Linked DNA regions of Zea mays. The protein of the gene in region 1 interacts with the protein of each later gene in a pairwise test. Links are inferred from orthologs where the notes say so. Each region holds a gene or a part of one and is shown on either strand. Other genes may lie near its edges.

The links. The genes of interacting proteins can lie anywhere in the genome.
Region 2: the proteins of preprotein translocase subunit SECY, chloroplastic (region 1) and uncharacterized protein LOC100286380 interact in binary tests that used the Arabidopsis thaliana proteins (3 or more experiments, as listed by UniProt). The link is inferred for Zea mays from reciprocal best matches to the Arabidopsis thaliana genes SCY1 and SECE1.

The regions. Positions count from the first base shown.
Region 1 is NC_050105.1:53,384,647-53,389,390, forward strand, and holds the start of preprotein translocase subunit SECY, chloroplastic, read right to left. Parts: upstream 2,993-4,744; 5' UTR 2,976-2,992; coding exon 2,785-2,975; intron 2,694-2,784; exon of another isoform or gene 2,666-2,693; coding exon 2,490-2,665; intron 1,572-2,489; coding exon 1,186-1,571; intron 541-1,185; coding exon 241-540; intron 165-240; coding exon 75-164; intron 1-74. UniProt on the Arabidopsis thaliana protein: Involved in protein export. Probably interacts with other proteins to allow the translocation of proteins across the chloroplast thylakoid membranes. Required for normal greening during embryogenesis. Central subunit of the protein translocation channel SecYE.
Region 2 is NC_050104.1:16,102,962-16,106,409, reverse strand, and holds uncharacterized protein LOC100286380, read right to left. Parts: upstream 1,673-3,448; 5' UTR 1,613-1,672; coding exon 1,058-1,612; 3' UTR 831-1,057; downstream 1-830. UniProt on the Arabidopsis thaliana protein: Involved in the import/insertion pathway in the thylakoids. The signal recognition particle is not involved in the insertion of SECE1 in the thylakoid membrane.

The DNA.
Region 1 (4,744 bases):
TCCTGCATCTCTTGATCCTATGTCTGTAACATCATGAGTCAAATAAAACTATAAAAGTATATTCAGTATGAAACCTTAAATGGTAAATATGCAGATCGCTGAAGTTCCCCAGTTCGACTGCTGTAACGAGAAGCATAATTGAGGGGTATTTTGCGCTCAGCTTCCTGAAATCGAAACACCCAGGCAGTTAGAACACGAAAGAAAATCTGTAAATATACCTTGAAATGAATATTTTCTTACTTGAACATAGACAATCCCAAGGACTAATAGTAAGAATGACAATATGATTGTGAGAAGTCCAACATAATTCCCATCTTGAAATGCCTGCGCAACTGTCCTCCCAAATGATGCAGGCAAATATGATATTATACTTGTAAATATAAGAAGTGATGTTCCATTTCCAAGTTTCAGATCAGATATTCTTTCACCAATGAAAGTAGTAAAGACCGATCCAAGTGTCAATAATGTCACAGATGTTAGAACCCATTCTGTGCTGAAATCATTCACATAGGGACGGAGATAAAGAACTTGTCCAATGGCCTAAAAACAAATACAATACTTTTTACAATCCCACTATATATAAATAAATTCAAGGTAAAATAACATCATAAATGATTACATGGTGACACAACAAATGGGTACTGACAAGACATGCAGTAAAAAAACAGACAATATCATCTTTACTTACAACAACACAATTCAGACACAGCATTACAGCGCTTCCTAAAACTTACTGACATGACAAGCAAAACGTTACTGTGTATGCTATAATCTTACTTTTTTCTTAATCAAAATACAGGTAATTTTTCAAAGCATATTAATGTTAGCATCTGTAAACAAGTTCCAGCCTTTATCTTTTATGTTATGCCAGGTAGTTTGACCTGAAGCTATGTCACATAGTAGCATTTTCCCAGGTATAAGTCAGTTCAGTTTTGCATGTAAAAAGTGCAAGTCTATAGAGGTTTAGACAGATGAGTTCTGCTCGCAAGGAACTTCAAGCATCCTATAGTGCTCTTCACGTTCTAACTTTTGACTCAGTTGCCGGAATTACCTCACATTTAAAACAAAGCTCAAAGAAGTTTCATTGCTGAAACAATATCATAATATAGAAAAAATCTAAGGTTCTCACTGTTAAGCCATCTTCGCATAAAAATCCCACTTCTCAAATATTTCAAGGAACCTAACCTGAACAATTGCAAATCCAACAGAAGCATATCTTGTATACTGAAGAACCTTCTTTCTTCCTGCTTCCCCTTCTTTCCGCTGAAGGTCTTGCAATTTTGGGTAGAGTTGCGCAAGGAGTTGAAACACAATCTGTGCATTGATAAATGGTACAATGCCAAGGGAGCAAATTCCAAGCCGGCCAATGCCTCCACCAGAGAAAGAATCTAAAGTGCCCAGCAGGCTGTTCTGGTCAAGGTTCCCAGCAAAAGCTTCTCGGTTGACCCCACCCAAAGGTATATACACACCAAGCCGAGACAAGGCCAAAAAACCAAGGAGCTTCAGGAACTTCCCAGGTAGAGGGCCCTTGAAGAAGTCACCAATGTCAATGGAGCTATCCTCAATTGCAGCTGCTCAAAAGGAAAGGTACTTGGATTGAGATTTGAGACACATTTTAAACAGCAAATACTGATTGGCTAAAGAAAGTGAATTCCAGCAAATCCATCTGCAGAACTGATCCTAGCTGTTAAAAACTTAAAAAAAATCAGCAGTTAAAGATGCAGTGCCAAGATACTAGAGCAGATAAATTTGAAGAAAATCGTAAAATTTAAGCATGATATGAGATACATTATTGATTCGTCAAAAGAATGTTGGTATTTTAAGAAACTTATCATGAACCACATCCAAATTGATGCAATATACAGGTTCTAACTTTTGTCTTCAAGGCTGTTTAGGATATTTGGGCTTGTCAAGTCCAAATAGATCAGCTTTGCTTTAAACTGCACTGCACTATTCCCTTAACTAACATGGAAGTATGTTTCTCCTTCATCTATCCACAACATTAATTTGATTATATGATTTTGCAACACTTCAACGCAAGTAGCATAGCACCACTGTTTTGCTTCACTAAGATTCACTTCAAAATTTACTACTCTCCCTACCCCAAAATAACTGATGTTTTATGTTTGTCTTAAGTCAAACCATTTTATGTTTGACTAAATTTATAGGACAGAACATTGATATTTATGACACCAGGTATATATAATAAGAAAATATATTTAGTGATAAAAATTTAATAATACTTAGCTGGTATCTTCAACGTTGATATTTTGTATAAATTTGGTCAAACTTGAAATGCTTTGGCATAGGACAAACATAAAACATCAGTTATTTTGGGGCAAGGGAGTACCAGTATAGAAGCTAATGAAGCATACCACTAAACCTAACTAACTAGTGCGATAGCACAGCATTATTGCAAAATCCACCAAAATCGTTCCTAAGTATTAGTCCTGATAAAAGTGAAAAGGAAATAGCTCTGAATTGGCAACCTGCTGCTCCTCGCCCGGACGCCTTCTCCCTACTTGCACCACCGCCGCTGGAGCTCCCAAATACCGGCGCCATGATACCAAAGAAGGTAGACAGGGGAGACCGCGACAGAGAATTAGACCCCTCCTCGTAGAGCCCCAGAGGGTCGAAGCCAGGGCCGGCGGTTTCCAGCGTACACCTGCACGAGCACAGCAGACAGAAGGAACCTAACCAAAAAATCAACAAGAGGACTCAACAAGTCTGGTTGCACGGTGCTTGAAACCAGGAGGCACGTTTCATCTGCTGGGATTTCGGTACCTGGGGGAACAGTCCAGTGTGCCTCGCCTTCCTCTGGTTGTAGTAATAGCGATGCGGCGCCTGAGAGGATAGATGGGAGCCGCAGCCGCTACGGCACGCGGCCGAAGAGGAGAGGAGAGGGGTGGAGGTGCCCGGGCCAAGGCGGGGAGCCCTCGCCAGCATTGCGGCGGGGTTGTCGTGGCGGTGACCATGGAGGCGTGGGGCCGAGAGTGGACGGAGGGGGGCACAGGATGACGAGTGGTTTTGGCCTTCCGGAGGTGATAATAATAAGCGACTATGAGCTATGGATTATGAAAAAACTAGAATTTATTTGACTACATAAAAATACATGTGCGTTGCAACAGAAAAAAAATAGTACAACAACAACAATATGCATGGCTATATATTGTGTTGTTAATCAAAATTAATATGTCTTTAAAACTTTGTAGTAGTTCGTAAATTGCCATATGTATTAGCTAATCGACATCGGTGGCCACCAGTTTACCATAGTCCGCGACATGTGGAACTGTGGGAGGAGGGTGGTCACCAGTTTACCATAGTCATGCATATTATATTTAGTTAACAACTACTGCACATACTGAGAAGAGAATGTTAATTTCAGTCAGTAGGATTTTTAAAACATCACATTAGCATGATTCAGTAGTATTAAAAAAGTATATATACCATCTGATAGTTGACAGTCTTTCGTAGCATGGATCAGTTTAATGAAAGAACTACATGTATTCAACTGACAACAACTACTGCACATATAAATCTTAAAATAGTTTGTTTCAGTTATCATGATTTAGAAAACAATATATTAGCATGGTACAGTATTTGGAAAAAACTGCATTACAGAGAAGTATGTAGCTGATGTTATTAGCATGACTGAGTTATCAGGGAAAAACTGAAAGAACTATCCTTGATGCCTCAAGGAATAGCATAGCTACAAGTATCTAAAATAAAAAAATACCTCTTAAACCTTGTGTTTCCCTCCTTCCCTCTCCCTCTGCCCCCCTCTCTCTCCATTCAAAAATATTGAACAATAAAAAATTGCAATGCATCAATGAAGGACAACTATAGAAGTTTATTCATGAAAAATCAATACTCTGTGCATTACATGAGGTATAGACTATAGAGACATCACAAAAGACATCTACCAAACCGTTAGGATTCCATATTGTCCAAAAACCATGTGATGGATTTTTGCAAGCATGCAACATATGTGAATACTAGGTGAGTGACCGTGCGTTGCAACGGAAATATATAATATCATGATAACTTATGTAAAAATGTGTGTTATATTGTTATGAGAAAAGGTCTATGGGCACCTGGTTCTGGTTGGCCTGGGGGACGGCGACATCGTTGGTGTGGGCACCTGGTTGGCCTGGGCGACGGCGACATCGTTGGTGTGGCAGCGCGTGAGGTCGCGCCCCTAGAGCAAGTAGGCGCGGCCCTCAGAGTTGTCCTCAGAGAAGGTCACAGGACGAGGGGCCAGTGAGGTGGGCTAGACCCCGCCACACGCCAAGAGGAGCCTGAGGAGTAGGTATAGCATGCTCCCACCACATCGTCGACCAATGCGTCCCTGAGGTGGTGCGGGGAGGATGGGTAGTCGCGGGTGGCGGCTGCGGAGGCGGGGCATTTTCAGTGGCATGGGGAGACGAGGGCAAGGGTCGCAATCGGTCGTGTACGAGAAGAATGATGGAACGGAATGGAAAGGTCGAGCGCCCGAGCCAAACAGGTGGAATTGACAACGCAAAGGTCGTGGGGGAGGGCAACAACGAGGTTTCTCGAGGGACGAGCGAGCGGGGACAACAATCGGGAGGACGGGGCGAGGGGGCGCCGGGACAAGGGCATGGCCTCGCCCCTGTGCACGCCCTCCTTTGCCCCTTAGTAATAGAAGTAGAGATATGATATTTATGAATAATATCAATTTTCTTGCTACCTTAAATGCTCAACCTATAAATAATGCACTAAACCA
Region 2 (3,448 bases), on another chromosome or scaffold:
AATCTCTCGTAACATAATCTTCCAGTCCTAGCTGAAATTAGAACCATGAACTTTCAATTAGCATTCTTAACTGAAACTGTCAAGGGCTATTTTCATGAAAGCTAGAGATAGCAAGTTGCAACATTTACATGTTGCTGCATCCAGCCACCTAACAACAACGGCTATAAATTTCTTCCTGGTAGAAGAGCATCTACAATTGTATACTTATATCCCATTCATTGGAAAGCAAATAATTAAATTTAACCCCATAACCTCGTACCCACAGCGACATAAAAAGATCATAATATACGTTCTTCTTTCGTTTGTGACTATACAATCATCCAAGGAAAAACAAATGCAAGACTAATAGAGTAGGCTACTTAAACGGTGGGGAGAGAATTGATACAGAAACATCTAACATTTGTCAAACCCAACAAAACAAAACATAGGACAATGCCATTAAGATGATAATCCCATCCGTAACTCCCCAGTTCGATCAAGGTTGAGGTAGAATCCTCTTGGAAACACTATACTTCAGATTGTACAATTTATTAAGAGGGACTCCATATAACCTAGATAGCAGGAAATGCCCGTCCCTTTTGAATGTATATATGAGTATCAATACGCCTATCTATCAGTCATCGGGGTGAAATGAAGCCACTAGGAGAACAGACAGTGAGTATCATTCAGTTAGTCCAAACTACTACTGTGCTAGTGAATCAGAAGAGCATAGTGTTAATCATAAGCGTTTTTAATCTGCAGAAATTCTTCAGACAATTGCTTGAACATAAGTGAATTGAGCCCTTATTTTAACTGAGTTGAATAGTGTAATCTGGAAGCCTATTATTATCTCACCACTAAACAGAAGGAACTCAAGTTAGGTTCCCGAGTGACCATTTACCAACAAAATGTCACTCACATATTAGTAACATTACCAAATTCGCAAGTGACTCATCATCTTTTTCTTGGCAACTGAAAATTGGACATAATTCCAACCTCGAACATTTGATCTATGACCCTAGCCCCAAGTGCAAGAAAAAAAAAAATAGTTACAGAGTACACGAAGCACGCCGCTTCGTCAGCCGGAGAAGAAGTCCTGAAGTCCGCGTCCGGCGAAGACGGTGTCGGAGAGCTCGGCGAGGAGGGCGTTGACGGACAGCAGCGCGACAGTGGAGCCCGCGATGACCCCAAGCACCACGCCGGTGGTGCCCAACACCTTCCCAGGCGCCGGCCACTCGATCTCGGTCATCTCCTGCGCCACGCCTGCCCACCACCCGCCGCGGCCCTCGGCGGCCTCCGCCTCCTTCCGCGCCCTCAGCACCTCCTTCAGCTCCGCCGCCACCGCCTCCGGGCTCTTCTCCCCGGGCGATGCTGCCCCCACCTCCGTTACCTTCTCTGGTCCTCCTTCCTGCGGCGCCGACGGTGCGGGCTCTTGGTCTTGTTCCTGCCCCTTGCTGCTAGCAGTGTCCTTGGAAGCGGCCGCAAGGCGGTGGTTGCGGCAGTCGGGGAGGGAGTAGGAGAGGGAAACGGAGAGCGCGGGCTGGAGGAAGGTAGCAGAGCGAGGATGGCGCGCGGTGCGGGGAGAAGGGGCTGGAGTGAGGCGGAGGATTGCAGTGGTCGGCGTGGTCGCCATGGCTTCAGCGACTCGAGACGAGGCGGCCCTCGTTGTGGCAGAGGGATAGTGGCGTTTGGATAACGGAAGCAGATCCTCGCGTCACTGACGTGTGGGACCAGATCCACGAGGGATGAAAACGGTCGTAAACACTAAAACCATTACCGTTTTCATATTTTTTATCGGAAACAAAATCGAAAACGGTAACTCCGGAAACGGAAACGATATCGGTATTTCGAAAACATCGGAAACGAAAGTTTGGTGCGAAAAATACACCGGTAACGGTCGAAATCTAAAATACAATCGGTAAACATATCAAACATCATAATACAACAAAGTTGACAAAAGATCACAAAGACCACAAGTTCACAATTCATGATATAACAAGTTTACAATATAAAAAGTTCACAAGGATCACAAATTTATAATATAAAAAGTTTACAAAGATCACAAGTTCACAATATAACAAGTTCATAAAGATCACAAGTTCACAGACTCAAAGTTCACAATTCATAATATACACTCGATCTAGCTGACATGACATGCTTACTTATGAAATATTTTGCCTCGCATAAAGAGTTTTTCACAGCCTCACAGAAAAACCCTAAAACATAGTGTGTGTGGAAAAGACCAAATTGTTAATCTCAACTGCCTTCCAACACCATCTATCCCAAAAAAAATCTTAAGGCATTCAAAAATACAAAAATAAGTAATCCTTATCTAGAGACGTACAGGCGATGCGAAAAATCGCATGCTGGAAAATTCCGAGACACAATTCCGAAAAATTCCGAGACACAATTCCGGAAAATCCTGAGACACAAATCCGGTAATTTCCGACAAAACCGGTAACCGAAGGAAACGGTCGGTAAAACACCACGACGATTCCGATACCGATTCCGATAGAAAATTTCGAAAACCGATTCCGTTTTCGTAAATTACCTTTACCGATGAATCCGATCGAAAAATTTCGAAATCGGTTTCCGGAATACCGAAAAATTCTGAAACCGTTTTCATCCCTATGAGTGGTATGACCATGAACTCTAAATTTTAGACTATAAAGATCGGGATTATTTCTATTATTTTTGAATTAAAATTTTTTAGGGCTCTAGTATTTTGTGAAAAAGTATTTTAATCATGATCCATTAACGCTCCTAATTAGTGGCCTATTGTAGGTAAAGTAATCGGAGATAGAGATGGCAATGGATACGTACCCGCTCGGTAGTGCTTACCCATATGCGTACCCACGAGATAAAATCATACCCGTTAAGAAACTCGTATCTGCCCTTGGGTACGAAATTCTACCCACATCCATATCCGCATGAACCCGTCGGGTAACCCACACCCGATTAGATACCCGCTGAACGCATATTAAATAGCATAAATCTAATAAATATATGGCATATTTAAAACATAAAACATAAAATGTGAATAAATAAAATAAGAAAAAATAATGAATAATGTAGAAATATGTAAGTTGATCTTATTTTGGCTAATATATATTTATATGTGCTTATTTAAGTAGGATATGTGTATGACTTAGGTGGGTATAAATTACTCATGAGTATGTGGGTTTGGGTAGTACATACCCATACACACAGTCTATCCGATGGGTACAAAATTGTGTCCATTAATATACTCCCGAGTAAAGAAGTTGTCCTATACCTGCCCTTATATCGGGTAAAACCCGCGCGAGTATACGTGTTTCGGGTACTCATTGTCATCTCTAATCACATAAGTTTTTTCTTTGTAAAACCCGTGCGGGTATGCGGGGTTGTTCACTTCGGATTAAGCCAGATGTTTGGATTGGTGCAGCTATAATTCATAGAGATAAAAATACTATAAAAGTAGCAGAAGCCG